Arabidopsis thaliana: one gene and its partners. The protein of the gene in region 1 interacts with the protein of each later gene in a pairwise test. Each region holds a gene or a part of one and is shown in the gene's direction. Other genes may lie near its edges. The genes, in order: SNI1, AT1G63820 and AT5G56900.

The links.
Region 2: the proteins of SNI1 (region 1) and AT1G63820 interact in a two-hybrid assay, tested with the Arabidopsis thaliana proteins (one large-scale study listed by BioGRID).
Region 3: the proteins of SNI1 (region 1) and AT5G56900 interact in a two-hybrid assay, tested with the Arabidopsis thaliana proteins (one large-scale study listed by BioGRID).

The regions. Positions count from the first base shown.
Region 1 is NC_003075.7:10,191,130-10,196,264, forward strand, and holds SNI1 (negative regulator of systemic acquired resistance (SNI1)), read left to right. Parts: upstream 1-1,779; 5' UTR 1,780-1,854; coding exon 1,855-1,987; intron 1,988-2,061; coding exon 2,062-2,128; intron 2,129-2,222; coding exon 2,223-2,316; intron 2,317-2,407; coding exon 2,408-2,464; intron 2,465-2,559; coding exon 2,560-2,629; intron 2,630-2,713; coding exon 2,714-2,778; intron 2,779-2,873; coding exon 2,874-2,955; intron 2,956-3,048; coding exon 3,049-3,098; intron 3,099-3,176; coding exon 3,177-3,320; intron 3,321-3,397; coding exon 3,398-3,468; intron 3,469-3,533; coding exon 3,534-3,603; intron 3,604-3,687; coding exon 3,688-3,753; intron 3,754-3,869; coding exon 3,870-4,028; intron 4,029-4,109; coding exon 4,110-4,207; intron 4,208-4,309; coding exon 4,310-4,382; 3' UTR 4,383-4,533; downstream 4,534-5,135. Other genes in the region: AT4G18450 (Integrase-type DNA-binding superfamily protein), read right to left, coding at 1-32; AT4G18460 (D-Tyr-tRNA(Tyr) deacylase family protein), read right to left, coding at 4,634-4,696, 4,778-4,803, 4,897-5,037. UniProt on the Arabidopsis thaliana protein: Component of the SMC5-SMC6 complex, a complex involved in repair of DNA double-strand breaks by homologous recombination.
Region 2 is NC_003070.9:23,681,726-23,686,345, reverse strand, and holds AT1G63820 (CCT motif family protein), read left to right. Parts: upstream 1-1,972; 5' UTR 1,973-2,295; coding exon 2,296-2,742; intron 2,743-2,815; coding exon 2,816-3,007; intron 3,008-3,437; coding exon 3,438-3,569; intron 3,570-3,706; coding exon 3,707-3,817; 3' UTR 3,818-4,068; downstream 4,069-4,620. Other genes in the region: AT1G63830 (PLAC8 family protein), read right to left, coding at 351-432, 505-561, 703-724, 836-938.
Region 3 is NC_003076.8:23,018,610-23,024,595, reverse strand, and holds AT5G56900 (CwfJ-like family protein / zinc finger (CCCH-type) family protein), read left to right. Parts: upstream 1-1,830; 5' UTR 1,831-1,925; coding exon 1,926-1,997; intron 1,998-2,018; exon of another isoform or gene 2,019-2,084; coding exon 2,085-2,358; intron 2,359-2,428; coding exon 2,429-2,555; exon of another isoform or gene 2,556-2,642; coding exon 2,643-2,762; intron 2,763-2,858; coding exon 2,859-2,976; intron 2,977-3,245; coding exon 3,246-3,670; intron 3,671-3,759; coding exon 3,760-4,045; intron 4,046-4,122; coding exon 4,123-4,216; intron 4,217-4,305; coding exon 4,306-4,451; intron 4,452-4,717; coding exon 4,718-4,846; 3' UTR 4,847-4,924; intron 4,925-5,020; 3' UTR 5,021-5,351; downstream 5,352-5,986. Other genes in the region: AT5G56910 (Proteinase inhibitor I25, cystatin, conserved region), read right to left, coding at 588-691, 837-890, 987-1,326, 1,424-1,600.

The DNA.
Region 1 (5,135 bases):
CCGTCTAGTTCTTGGATATTGCCAAAAGCCATTGTTGAATCAGAGAGGAGTATGTGTTGGTGAGATTTAGGGCATTTTAAAGAGATTGTTGCTTTGGGGGTTTTGTGTGTACGTTGAATGGGAAATCTGCGGCAGGATAATTGGGAAGTACAGTTGGTGAAACTTGTGTTCTAAGGTACTGACCGCATTTCATGGAGGGTTTTAGGTTCCACATAAAATCAGGGGTTTTCTGTGTATACACACACACACGTACCATTATGTGAATAGATCATCTTAAGTCAACTTCAATAAATTAATTTAATAATGTTACCTCAGTTTGAAGTATAAAGATTGTGTACTATTTTCATTAAAAAAGTGCAGATTGTGTACTCTTGAAAAGGACTAGATGCAGAGTATTAATTCACTTTTGTATAATAAACATATTAATCTTCAGTTTAACGCTTCATGAGAATCTATGACGTGTTCCCACCAGAGGCACAAATCCGTTTTGGAGAATTGTGATTATTAAATCAAACATAAGTTTATTGTTTTAATGTTTCGTTCCACGCTCGTCGCATTTTAAAAAACTTTTTAACTATTTTTTTGGTTATAAAAAGAAATATAGCTTCTAAATGACTTGTTTCTACTGTTAGATTGATGAACCTTAATACTGATTTAGCTTTTCATACATCGATAAAGAATTCTTCGGTGTTTAGTTAAGTTTGTTAGAAGTTATTATTTTACCATACGATCACAGTTTAACGCATATTGCCTAGAGAATATAATATAATGATAACTAAACGCTATCAAAATGTGAAACGAAATAAGAAAAAACATGTAAGGGCTAAGTCATCACTAACTTTTTATCCAAGTATTATTTGTATGAGATCATTTTCCGTAAGTCCAAAGATTTGAAACAATGATGAGAGGTGAATAGAATATATAAATTCCACACGCTTTGAAACATAGCTTACAATTGAAAAAAAATGAAAAAGAGATTAATATCTCTATTCAATGTATTATAGAGAATGAGCTAGAGATACTTTATATGGTAGGTTCAAGTCACCTCAAGTACGTATCAGCTAATATTAAAAAACTATCTGCTAATTTTTATATCAATCGTTTAAGATTCATTCATTCGTTCTCCACTACGAGAGTTTCTTGCTTTGGCACATATATAGTTCAAGAAAGTCTCGTGTTGGAGAGACTCCAAGCGTGCTAGAGCGTTTCGATTAGAAAGGTGTTTTGTTCGAGCATTAAAGATTGTTGCAATGGTTCTATCTTAAGGTAGTCATTTGTTAAATTTTGGTATTCAATCTCGAGAGCTTCATAAGTCTAGCGAGCTTCATAAACACACTACAAGTCATGTGTATAAAATTTCCAATTCTGTAATCACAAGTCTAAACTTAATCTGAATCCAAATCACAAAAAGCATTTTCAAAATTGATTAAAAAAAAAACTACAATATAGAAAAGATTTTAATTGATGCTTGGAACGGAACTAACATTACCTGTTATGATTTCGGGCCTGAAAGTATTCTGAGTTTTGATTCAGAACCACTCGGTATTAAAGAAAAAGAAGACTTACTACAAAAAAAAAATTATATATATTTTTATGAATTATTATAACCAACTAATATTGTCTCTATTGGTTCTAAGTTCAAACTTCTAACCTTCGAGGGCCGGGTTCAAATTCCAGTAAGTGATTTATTTTTTGCTAACAATTCTCTTATGGCGGGAAAATTGACTTCTGTCGAGAATTAGGGTTTCTACAAATCTTTCTCCGTTCTAATTTCGGATTAAGATTTCAATCTCTCCTTCTCGTTTTCTTCTTTGGTGCTGCTGAGAAGAAATTAGTGAAATTGTGAAAGAGAAGATGTCGAAAGAGACGAAGGGTAATAACAATACAAGCAGAGTGATGAGTGGCTATGGCGGTAGCTTGGAAGCTAACACCTTGGCTATGATTGATTCCACCGGAGCTAAAGACAGTCGCGACGCTAACGAAGATCGTACGTTTCCTCAATTTTCAATCTTCGTCTTTGTTTTTGTTAATTGTATTGATCCTTTGAATGAAAAACCTTAGGTTTGCAGTATCTGGAAGCTGTTCGTGCTGCTTCACTTGTACCCGAAAATGGAATTCCTCCAACCAAGTAAAAAATAAAAAACTCTGTTTTTCTAAGAAATTTGAAGTTTTTACCTCTAAAAGAGTACTGATTTTGATTTGGGTTTTGTTTAATTTTGAAGCAAAATGTACCAAGCGATTTTCAGGATATTGAGATTTGGTAAAACATTGGAACTTATCACAGCAAGTTTCCAGCTTTTGACTCAATTACATCAGGTACTTGTTGCAAGATTTTGGTAGTGTAATTTGTCCAATAACTTTTATGAGGTTTCAGTGTTTTGCTTATTATGATTATGTTTTGTTTCAGCGGTTTCCTTGGGTTTATGTATCTGATTCAGCTGATCAGTTGGACATCGTTGACGAGGTACTTGTTACAAAAGTTTTGATGTGTTTTTGTTCATTCTTTGTTATGGTGGGGATGGTTGATTTCATGTGTTTGTTTATGGTTTTGTTTTGCAGGCTTGGTCACCGTTTAATTTCGGGTCTGATGTTGATTCTGATGAAAAGGATTTATCAGTGAGAAGCTTATGTAAGGACGTTTGTCTTCTCTTTTTGAGTTAGCTTTTTGTTGGTTCTTGCTAAATATGATTTTTTGTTTGTTTTATGATTTCAGTTTTGCAACAGCTGATTCAGAACATGAACAAAAGAGTTAATGAGTCTGAGGAATCAGATTTAAAGGTTGATTTATTTGTTATGTTGCAGATAAGCTTTAAAAATTGGTAGACTTTCACACAACTTGTTGTTATTTGATTCTTTTGTTTGGATTTCTGCAGATCCTTGGAAATATGTTTCTGTTCAAGTATCTTGCTCATGTTCTTAAGCTAGATTTCACACCCCGAAATCAAGTGTATGAAGGTATAGATTATGTCTTCATAGTTTTAAGATTTCTCTTTATCTTGTTAAGTTTGGGGAAATTCTTAGAACTTTTTGTGTCCTTTTGTGCTCCAGAAACTATGAACTGGAGTCTCTTAAAGGAATCTTTTCTGAATCTACTTCTGGTACATCCCACAATCAATGGCTCAGAAACTAGTATAGTAATTTATTTGTGATTTTTAATGTTATGGTTCTGCTTGTAGGCTTCAAGAAAAGTGAATTTCAAACTTCTAATGAAAGATTATCTATCAACAATGTGTGCATCCATTGATGCTGATGAAAAGTCTATCAGTTTGGTAGAATTGCACAAGGACATGCTTACTGCTATGAAAGAACTTCTAGTAATGGTAAGTTTTCGGTTACCAGAGTATTAGTGTTTCAATTTTCGGAGCTTTTTGCTCTTACGTTTCTGTTCCTTGTTTAGATCATGGAGCTTGATACATCAAAGAAGAAAGCTGACTTAGAAGGGATTACCTCTAGAGGAGATGGCGTAAGGTAATGAGTTTCTGCCTCACTTTTGAATTGTGTTTTCTCCATGTTTGTGATCCAATTTGATGCAGGACCCCTGCAATGGAGATCATTCTCGACGAGCTGACTTATGATGGATACTTGCTGTCAAAATTTCTTCAGGTAAGAGACAAACCACTTCTGAAACTCACTGTGGTCTGTAAAATTCTTCTCTCTGTGGTTCTTGAGTGAAAATTTCTTAATCAGGTTTTCGATGATCCTAAATGGAAGCTAGAGATTGTTCTCCAATACCTTACTAAATACATTCCTAAGGTTTGTTGTTAATTCTCTGATCTCTCGCTCTCTGATTATCTTCTCCAACAAATGATGTACAATATATAGTTATTTCTCTGATTTCTCTCTCTGACCAAATTTCTTTCATGTTGTAGCCTGTTGTACGTACCCGAAGAACAACTGTTCCTCAAGCAGAGGATTCGAAAACACTAAATGGGATCTTGAAGACGTTTTCAAATGGCACAAATCCAAAGAACATCACTAAAAAGATAGGACCTGACATTGTTCAGATCCTCATCGGCCATGCCTTTCTGGTAACACAATAATACCTTTGTTTCTTCTTTCACGTTCTCAGAGCTTTTTTTGGCCTCCTAATGTATTTAACTATTCGTCAGGCTCGGCTTACATTCTCTGACCCTCACGAAGGAGACTCTATTTCAGAGATATGCAGTAGTATCATCTCTGCATTTACTAGTCTAAAGCGAGTAGATCAGTAAGCTGCAGTTTCTTTCACTCTCAGTTTTTTTTCTCTTTGTGCAATCGAGATACTATACCGCTTTCCTTTGTCCAACCGAAAGTTTAATGGTTGTTATAGGAAAATCGAGATTCTACCGTTTGGGAAAGAAGTGTTGTTTACTGCAGGAATGGTACTCAAGGCAAAAGCTTAAAGCATCTAGGAATCAAGATTTTAACAAATCTAGAGACTTCAATTGGATTAGAAGCAAAGAAGTTACAATGTAATGTAGGAATTAAGAGTTACAGATCAATGAATTATGAATTTATATATTCTATAGTTTTGCCAATACAAAATGAGTGATCTTATGATTCTGTTGATGCCTTTTTCTCACTTATGGAACATATCAAGACTTGCTTTAGTAACAAATCCATGCCTGATAAGTTTATGCAAAACAATCTTGGCTTACTTGGTGGATTGAGGTGAGTCGAGCTGCATCGTGACCGGACCATCGTTTACAAGATTGACCTTTGAATATGATTAGAGAACATGTTTTAATCACACAAGATACTAATCAAACCTTGCTATTGAAAGGAGTTATCTCCTTACCTGCATCATAGCTCCAAACACACCATCTGTATTTTAAAAAAGAGAACCAATTTAGTCAAGAAGACTAGAGAAAATGAGAAGTTTTGATTAAGAAAAGATCAATGAGAGTGTGTTTTGACCTTTGACAGCATCAGGATTATATGCTTTCTGGAATTTCTCAACTAAAGAGGCGTAAAAAGGTTTCGCTTTATCAGGTGGCATTGCGACATGAAAATCTGGTTTGTTACCTTTCAAGAATCCGTATAATGTGAATTGACTAACTGTATTAACACACATGATCCAAAGACCAGGGCAAGCAAAGAAAACAAACCTCAGTACATAAACCACAAGCTAAACCTTTCTCTAATCAAATGGTATA
Region 2 (4,620 bases), on another chromosome or scaffold:
GAGATCTATTGAATTATTGCAAGCAGGTTTTAAATGCCAAAATATCAAGAACATCACACTCATCGGTAAATAATGTGATCTCCTAAGTCAAATAAGTTGAGCAACGGAATTCTAATATAGAGCAGAGGAAACTAGGAAAGATGACGGAATCACATTATATAAGATTTGAACAGATGTCCCAGAAAGACACAGTGACACAACTACGAGAAAAAGAAAATATCCAAATCATAAACTGTTTCATGTTCCACTTTCCATTTCAATAAGTTTACACAAACAAAACGAGTGTCATTCACTGATGTTAAAACTAATGTTACATTCACCAAAAAAATCAGAAATAATCGAAGTCTCACCTCAGTGGCAAGGCAAAGTTGAGGACATTTGCTTTCTCCACACCTTCCACTACAGGGCATATATCCAGCACAGCAAGTATACCTGTGACGCGCAATATCTTAGCAAAGAAAAAAATCAGACTAATATTCTCAAAATAGTTTAGAAATTACATACCTTGACATGTCATTGTAAAGTGCTCTTCTCCGAAGCATGTATGACACACAAGGTCCACTACATTCAAAATGTATAACAAATCAAATATGTAACCAAAACCATGAATACAGACTCAAAATTGAATCAAGCAAAAATAAGCCTAAAAACAATCTCAGATACAACGAAACCCTAAAAGCAAATAGATCAACAACAACTTACCACAGACACGAGATGCAGCAATCTGCAAAAAGTAAGTTCATAATTCCCGAAAAAAACAAAAATCAGTTCTTCAATAGAAAAAACAATGAAGTTAAGAGACATAAAAACAAAAACAAAAGAGACTGAGATTTACAGGGAGTGTCGGCGGTGACGGTGCCCATGAGATCGGAGTGCCATAAATTCCGGTAATCTTGCCTAAGTTTCATCTTATCCAACTTATCTTGCGACGCCGCCATTGCTTTGGAAACTCAAAAAAGAAGAAGTTCAGATTCGAAAAACCCTAAATCAGTGACTATACAGAGCAAAAGCAATAAATCAAAATCGGTTACAAAATCTATAAGAACCTGATGATCTGCTTCACGCGTAAACCTTTAATTGATGAAAGCAGAAACTTCTCGTCACCCTCACTTCAACGAAGATATTTTTTTTTATCAAATCAGTTTCTTAGAAAAAATGAGAAGTTTGACTATTATTTAGGACCAGTTTGACCCACAACTTTTTCTTTAATTGTCGGGACCAACAAATTTAATATCCTCGGGTTCTGATTGGTTAAAATATGACCTTGGGGAATGCCGGAATTATATAATAAATTTTAAATTTATATAATTAGTAAGATCAAAAATAAAAATCACATTAATGCACAAATAAAAAGATTTTCAAAATGTTGAACGCATTAATCAAATGAGGGTTTGGTAACAATTTCGATGGTTTCTAGAAAATAACTATTCCTCTACGGATTTAATGAGAGTTTGAAGTCGAAGAAAGAGTTTTTCTATCTCTGCATTCTAAATTTTTTGCAAATGTTGGTAATATTACAAAATATTTTGCCGACAAAAAAAAAAAATTACAAAATAAGTTTTTACCGTCACCAATTACCGCATGTAAATTTTACTTTTTCAAAGTCAGATCCGTTACATTGACACCAAATTTCAATTTCTCCTTTTTCAAACAAAAGTCCACTGTCGTCAATGGCTCTACGAATCACACGCTAAATTCGATTTGTTTCTATTTCAATAGCAAATGAGTATAAAAGGTTTGTCAATTCTTACCTTTAGCTTATGTCATGCAAAATACCCTAGTGGGTTTAGACTTTAAGATATAAAAACACCAGAGAGAAAATTACTACAATAAATTATTTACAAACATAGACAAAAATGTGTAAATTAAATGTATATGGAGAAATTCATAACATAAATAAAATACGAGGGTACATTTGTTAAACCCACTAATTGTCTGCTATATAAACATAGCCCACCAGACCAAATAAACTGGACCTGTCATGCCTTGGTTCTGAAACAAGAACTGTGAAGAAAAAGAGAGAAACAAAAAAAAAAATCACACTTTTTTGGGTAAAAGGTCCAAATTTACATTAAGAAAAAACAGTTTTCTTTTTGCCAATTTTGGATTCTGGTGGTTTTCAAAAAAACAAAGATCACGAGTGTCACTTGTGTTTTCTCTGTAACCGTTTCATTTGCTCAATTCAATTGCAGAGACAGTAAAAAAAGACAGAACATAACCCCAAAAGATTCACTTGTTTATCTCTCTTCTTCTTCATTGAGAATCTTGAGTTTGTGTTACCAAAATAAAAAGGGCATGGATTCTGATCTTTATATCTTTGATGGGTCTTCATCTTCTTCCTCAATCTGCCACAGTACTGATCCTGATATGTTTTCCTCCGACACAACAACAACAACAGATCTCTACTGCAACAATCCTTATCTCAATCCTTCAATGGATGATCATCAATCTCTTAGTTTCTTTGAAAGTTTTACTCCGACGACTCATCATATCCTCTCTTCTTCTCCTCCAATCTCTCAGCTCCAGACCTTAACTCTCACACACACAAACAGTTTCCCCAACTTCTCCGGTTTCGAAAACTTCGACACTGTCAAAACAGAGCAGCTCTTGTTTAACTCTCCCTTTGATGCTCCATTCATGGAAGATTCCTCGAATTTTCAGAATCAGAATTTGTTAAACTCGCCGGAAGATTCCTTCTTCTCCGATCACATGCGACGAGTTTACAGCACCGGAGATTTGCAGGTACTTTAGCTATAATATCCTCTGTTTTCCTCTGTGATTTCACACAAAAACTAATATTTTGGAATTTTTTTAGAATTTAGGAAGGGATTTTACGGGACAGAGATCATACTCGAGTCCTTTGGCGGCGGAGAGTTCACCAACGACGGTGTTTTCCGGCGATGAACAAAGCTTGAGGGTGGGGCGTTACAGTTCCGAAGAACGTAAAGAGAAGATTTCTAAGTATAGAGCTAAACGAACACAGAGAAACTTCACCAAAACCATTAAGGTAATAATAAGTTAAATAACTACTATTTAATAACTAGTTTTAACTATTAGCAATATAAAATTCTAAATGAATTTAATTTCGGTTTAACAAGTTTATTTTTTTCTCAATCAAACGAAAAAAATATCTAATTTTCTCTATATTAATTGGTCAAAATAACAATTAAACCAGAAATAGAACTGAATTACATGTTCTTTTAAAGAAACTGGAATATAAATCAAACTATTTCAGAGACTTTGGAAATTAACTTGAATTTTTGCTTGGTTATTATTCCCCGTTGTATAAAAGAAAAAAAGAACAAAACTCAAATTATATGCACATATTCAATTAATTAAATAATTGTTTTACAATTTTATACAAATTACAACTTTACATTTGTAATTTTGGTTTGCACCGTTATAATTTTCTTATATATTAAATGCAAAAATTGAAGTATGCATGCCGGAAAACGTTGGCGGACAACAGACCAAGAGTACGTGGCAGATTTGCAAGAAACGACGAAGTGTTTGAGAACCCCAAGATTGCTTCTTCTTTCACTAGACAAGAAAACGACGACGACCTTTGGGTAAGTAAAATTCAAGTTGATTCCTAAATTACAAACCTTACTTTTTCATCTTTTTATACAAGTATAATAAATTGTATTTAAATTGAGATTAAGTAAATAACTGATAATTATTTACTTATTTTTTAACATTATGGCAGAATTTGGATGGGCTGCATGAGGAAGAAGAAGCTTGTGTGAACTTAGTGGAATGTCAGTCTCAGTCTCAGCCTCAGTTGCAAATGCAATACATGACAAATTCCTACTGGTGAAATTAAAGCCTCTGTTTGAGAAGGAAGAGATGAATATTTTTCCCATTTAGTTTTAATATGCAGACGAATCGAATTAAATCATATATATTAGCAATGTATTGTAGTGTAATGATTGGATTTACCATGAAGTTGAGTAATCATAAGTCGGATCTTTGCACTGTGTACGTTTTAAATGACATAATTAGTCAGAGAGTTTTGGGTTAAGAGTCTATATACTATTCTCTTATACATCATATAAACTATAATCTCGCAATTCATGTCTCGAACATACTACTGCACCAGAATCAAAAAGTAAGGTAAAAATTATGGATATTTATTTCCAAGAGAATAAAATAGTGATTTAATATATAAGGTACCTAGTGACATTGTCATAGTGGTGTTACATGTGAATATGTAAATAAATAAATTGTGCTATGATTAATTATCACAGATGGAAAAATCTTTGACCCTCGAAGGAAGATTCCTTGGTCTGAATTTTAATTTATATGATGAATTTGAATTAGTGGACTACTAAACATTGGTTATATGATCTTAGATTAATATTTTAATAGTCCGAATCATTGATATATAGTAGTCAAAACAACATTTTTCTATCATGGAGGACCAAGATCCTCTCTTGTCAGTTTAGTCTGTTAGTACATATATGAAATTATGAATTATTATCGCTTTAGAGAATCACATTTCAAATTAATATATGTAGAATAGCTTTGTAGTATATCAATATGCTCAAGTCCAATCATCCGTTGGACTTGAAACAAGTTGCACACTAAAAATAGTGGTTTAGTATATATGTGAAACAAAAA
Region 3 (5,986 bases), on another chromosome or scaffold:
CTAACATATAAATAAAGAAAAAATACACCGTCAAAGTAAAAACGCAAAAAGTCTGCTACGAGTCTAGTGGGCCGCTACAAGCTCATTTTCCTCTTTGTATCAGGCTGAATGTGACATCAAGAAAGGAAAACGGAAATAAGCTAAATTTTTGGGTGAGATTTCTTCCCTCGTGAGATTTTTTTCTCTTTAGATATATTTTTGATAACCTCTTCAAAATGCAGAAAGCTTATATGTCTATATTAAAATTGGTGAATTTTATTTTTGTTTCACTAAGTTGGTTTTCATGAACTCATTGTTTTTTTCCTTTTAAGATATGGATAGAAGAAAAAGAAAACAAATTTATGAAGATCCACCACCACCAAAAAAGGTAAATTAAAGTTACATTCTTTTCTCAAACAAATGGATTTTTGAATATCAATTCTATTTGTGTTCATAGATCTCTAGAAGAGAAGCTAGTACATTTAGAGAGATAGAAGAAGTTGAAAATTCAGAGGGTATAATATTAATACAAGCCTAATTTGATTTTTCAGTCAGTGACTAACATCATATCTCTTTGTCACCAAAGGAATGGTATATATACTTTTTCCTTACAAACCAGACCGATAGAGATCATAAAGAGCTCCAGTTCGATCAAAGACGAAAGGGACACCATCTTCAGGAGCAGCTCGAACAAAGACAACCGGTGGTTTATCTACATGACAACAAAACACAATTAATGAATACTAGCATTGATTAGAAAAGCAAAGGTAAAGGTGGTTTAGTTTGATCAGAAAAGTAAAACACCTAGTAAACTAATCTAAGGTCACAAAAGGTAAACCAAGAGAAAGTAGCAGTACCATAGTCATCATAAGGCATGGGAGAGGGTGGTTTCACTTCAACATCATCCATCTCTGCATCGCATAAACACACACGAGTTAAACATCAGAATAGGTAGCAGCCAAAGAATAAAAAGAAGAAACCAATAGAGTTAAAACGAAATTTGTCACCTTCGTCCTTAGGCTTGACCCTGAAGATGGGAATTTCAAACTGTTTTCCGCGACGCCAAAGTTCGACTTGATAGATCTGCGATGTAGGAGCGGATGAGGCCATATCGGTAGCCCAGAATGTTAACCAGCAGAGGAGACCATTGGCAAATTTGAAATTAGCTGAGACATGCTCGACAAACACAAGTTTAGATCCATGAGCTTCATTGTGTTTCTCAATGGCAAAGAGTGTCACATCACGGATCACATCAGCATTGGTTCGTATATCGCTGATAGGTGGTGAATTTTCCAACGGCCTTATATGGAACATGTAGTCATATTTCTCCCAATCAACCGTGAAACCCTAATTAAGCCAAAAAAGACTTCTTATCAGATTCCGATTTTCGAATTAACCCTAATTTTGAAGGAAAGGAAGCTTAAAAATTAAAGTTGAATAGTACCTCGGATTTATGGAATTCGTAGTGAAACAAACAATACTGTCGAAGATACTCATCATCTTCCACGTTTCCTAGCTTGAGATGTTTCCAGGACGATTTCGATCCTTCGCAAGCTTTGTCCAACTTCGGGATCTTTTCAGGCCGGCCACAGTTAACCTCCTTCAAAACAGAGTCCGCCATGATTAGATCGGAACCCTAACGGCTAACGCACACTTAGCGAGAGGTGAATGAGAGAGAGGTAATAGAAGACAATTATCGTGTTTGTTTTCTTTTTTGAAATATAGATGGATGAATGATGATGATGATTTGAGAAAAAAAAAGCTCATGAGAAGCCCATTTAGTAGTGAAAGAGAAGGCTCAAATATTAGATGAATGGCTCATGAGAAGCCCACTTAACTGGGCTCATTAGAAGCCCATTAAGAGTGAAAGAAAAGTCTCAAATAGTCGTCTCCGTCATTGTCGTTGCTTTCCTCCTCCTTCTCCTCCGTCCAGTGTCATCACTGTCATGGCGCCCAGAATTTTACTCTGTGGAGATCCTCTTGGACGTCTCAATCAGCTCTTCAAGCGTGTCCAATCGGTCTCTATCACTATCTTTCTCCTTCTGCTCTCCGATTTCACCTGATTCTGTATCTCCAATTTTTAAATCGAACTCCAATTTTTGCAGGTTAGCAAATCTGCTGGTCCCTTTGATGCTCTGATTTGCGTCGGACAGTTTTTTCCCGATTCTCCAGAAATTCTAGATGAGTTTTTGGATTACGTCGAAGGTCGAGCTCAAGTTCCGATTCCTACTTACTTCACCGGAGACTATGGTGTCGTCGCACCCAAAATCTTATCGACGACTTCGAAGAAAGCTGAGAATCAAGGGTTTAAGATGGATGGACTCGAAGTTTGCCACAATTTGTTTTGGTTAAGAGGAAGTGGGAAGTTCAGTCTCCATGGTAAGGGTTTTGCTAATATCATAAAAGTATCAATCTTTATCAGTTTTTTTTGATAAGTTGTTTTGTTTAGGTTTGTCTGTTGCTTACTTATCTGGTAGACAATCATCTGAGAGTCAATTTGGGAAATATAGTCAAGATGATGTTGATGCTCTTCGTGCACTTGCTGAGGAACCTGGAGGAGTTGATTTGTTCTTAACATATCCTTTTTCGTATTAGTTGATGAAATTAGAACTGTGGATACATTTCTCTATTGTTCTACTTGTCGTCCTTAATTAGTGTATTACTAATGAATGGCCTGCGGGAGTCACAAACAGAGCTGCGGTTTCTGATATTCCTGTTGGAATTTCTGATTCCTCTTGTAGTGATTCCACTGTTTCTGAGTTGGTAATGGAAGTTAAACCTCGGTAAGTGCTTTTTCGATTCTAATATTGTTGTTACTGGGGAATTTTGATCACTTAGTTATGAACTTAATTTGCGGTTTCTGTTTCCTTTTGTGGTAGCTATCACATTGCAGGTTCTATGGGGGTATTTTATGCCCGTGAACCTTACCTCAACGCTGAATCTACTCATGTAACTCGCTTTATTGGTCTTGCTCAAGTTGGAAATAAAAACAAACAGGTGTGTTCTATAGTTCCTTTCAACTCGAGCTTGGTATCTTATTAATTTTTTCTGAAGATTTTGGTACCTCTCTGTTTGATCACTTGCCTCCTGAGTGGTACTCTTAACTGTATGTATGGCTCCTCCTAAGATGGATATACTTTGGATGCAGAATCTATGCAAACACATGTAGCACATCAGACTGTTTTTTTTTTTTTTTTTGCGTTTTCTGATGATTTCATGCAGTTTTCATATATTCTTCAATTTTACTTCTTTTTTCCACTTTTTAGAAATTTCTTCATGCGCTTTCTCCTACACCAACATCTACCATGTCACCAGCAGAGCTTAGTGCAAAGCCTCCAAAAACTACGCTATGGCCTTATAATTTACAAGATGGAGCTGCTGAATCGAAGAAGAGGCCAAACGATAGTGACTCTGATTCACAGTATTGGAGGTATGATGTCCCAAAGCGGCAAAAGAGTGGATCTCAAGGGGAAAAGCTCTGTTTCAAATTTGTCTGCTCAGGTTCCTGTCCTCGTGGTGAAGATTGCCATTTCCAACACAACGCTGAAGCAAGAGAACAGTGTCGTAGAGGTGTTTGTCTTGATCTTATCATCAAAGGTAAGTGTGAAAAAGGCCCAGAGTGCAGCTACAAGCATGAGTTTCAAGATGAAAGTAGCATACAAAGGAAGCCCAGATCTGAGAATGCTAACAGGTATATTCTAATCTAGCTTCTGAGAACATATATGCCATTTGGACTCGGGGTGGAGACAGTAATTGTCAAATCAAAATTGCTTTTCTCAGGTCAAAAGAATGCTGGTTTTGTCTATCAAGCCCGAGTGTGGAGTCACATTTAATCGTCAGTGTAGGGGAAAGTTTTTATTGTGCTCTACCCAAAGGTTCGCTAGTCGAAGATCACATATTGATAATCCCAATCGAACATTTGCCCAATACTCTGGTTTTATCCCCTGAGGTTGAATCAGAGCTCAGTAGATACCAAAATGGTCTGAGAAATTGTTATAAGAGCCAAGGAAATGATGCAGTTTTCTTTGAATTGGTCTCTAAACGTGTTTCTCATGCTAACCTCCAAGTAAGAAAAGTTCCTATTGCAAATCAGGTGGATCTTTTTGAATTTAAAAGTTACTTACAGTAGTCTACCTTATGTAGGTTGTTCCTGTTCCATCATCCAGAGCTCGTCTTCTTCCTAATATCTTTAGTCTGGCGGCTGAAAAACTGGGCTTTAAGCTTGTGACTAAAAAGTGTAAGCTGATTTTCTTACTGTTTTTCTTCTCAATGTTATAGAATCAATGGACCCTATCTTATAACTCAGTGATGTTGTCTTTGTTGCAGTTAATGATAGTACTGATGGCAGAAAATATCTGCAGAAGGAATATAATGCGGCATTGGGTCTCTTCTATGTGGAACTTCCTGATGGAACTGTGCTATCACACACCTTGGAAGAAAACGAAGTATTCCCTGCGCAGTTTGGACGGGAGGTAAGACAATTCATGAATGGATTGCGACTTTGCTATTATACTACTAAAGAAAGATGCCATTGATAACACAATATTCATACGCATGAAGAGTCAAACATTATGTTCTGTTTAATACAGAGTGACCATTCACAAAAGAACTTTCATGCTAAGATCATAATATATGACATTTTGGATTCGAATAGATAGATAACTTCTGATCCACCTTAACAATATTTTGAGATCCTTAAGGCGTTTTGTTGCTATAGAAATGACATTGGATTTTACAGGTTCTAGCAGGGTTGCTAAAGATCCCAGATAGGGCCGATTGGAGAAACTGTAAAATTAGCCAAGAAGAGGAGGCAAAGCTGGCTGAAGATTTCAAGAAACAATTTCAAGAATTTGACCCTTGCCAATAACCTTACTGAACAAAAGATACGATTAGATGCTATCTTGTGGGCATCAATCATGCTAAACTCAGTCTCCAGTGCACTCAGGTATTGTGTTTCTGTTCCAGTTTAATACCAAATTTCTATTATCTTTTGACGTTTATGTTTTCTTCTAACCACCTTTGGACTTAATATTTTCTCTAGGTCAGAAGCTGAATCATGCGAAGCATCGTCGTTTAGAAATAGGTTTGTCAACAGTGTTCTTTGTTTGGTCAGTTAAAAGCTAACAGTCTTCCATCAGTTTCCTTACTATTTTACTGGTTAGTTGTTACCTATCTTGTTCTTCTATTAAACATTTTTTTTGATATATTATTGTTTGTTGAGATGTAAGAGAGTGATCATCACAGAAACACACAACAGTCATGGTAGAATTTGCTTCACCTGTTTTCACCTAAACTACTGACTTCTTGTTGGTTGGTAATAATGTACATTTTTTTTTCCTTTACAGTAATTAATCGCAATCATTTCTAGCCAAGACATACTTTAATTCTAGAATGGTTAATAATCAAATAAAAAAACAGATAGTATCTGATCAATGTGGGTTTCAGCATCAATCTTTGATCACTGAATGAAATCCACTTTTGTCATAACAGTGAGATTAAAGCTGGTTTTAGTGAATCAGATTCAACTCTCTAGCATTTAAAAGATGTACCTTGAGAATGTGGTTTTTATCACATGGTAAAAGAGAAGAGAAACATTGATCTCTTCATCTTTAAGGGTTAACTTAAGCTTTCTTTTGCTGCTCCCGCTGTTGTTGTTGCAGCTTTAGCAAAAGAGTAAAGGAAACAAAAGAAAACTTCATCATCAACAAGGGTTTATAGATTCTGTCTATGCCTCTACACATGGCTCTTTACCTTCTCATTTCCTTTAATGTGAAAGTGAATTTTGATGGTCCCAAAAAATTTAGGTCTCTATAAATGCATCAACTACCCTCTAATTTTCTAGTAATTTAAGCTAATTTGCATCTTTTCTAGATTAATTTTCCCATTTATTGTTGTTTACCTTATTTTGGAAAATCTGAATATTATTAATTAAAATTGGCATTGGTACAGTACTAACTGGACTTAGTCGGATCCAGTTCAGAGATCAGAGAGGAATATTTATTAATAT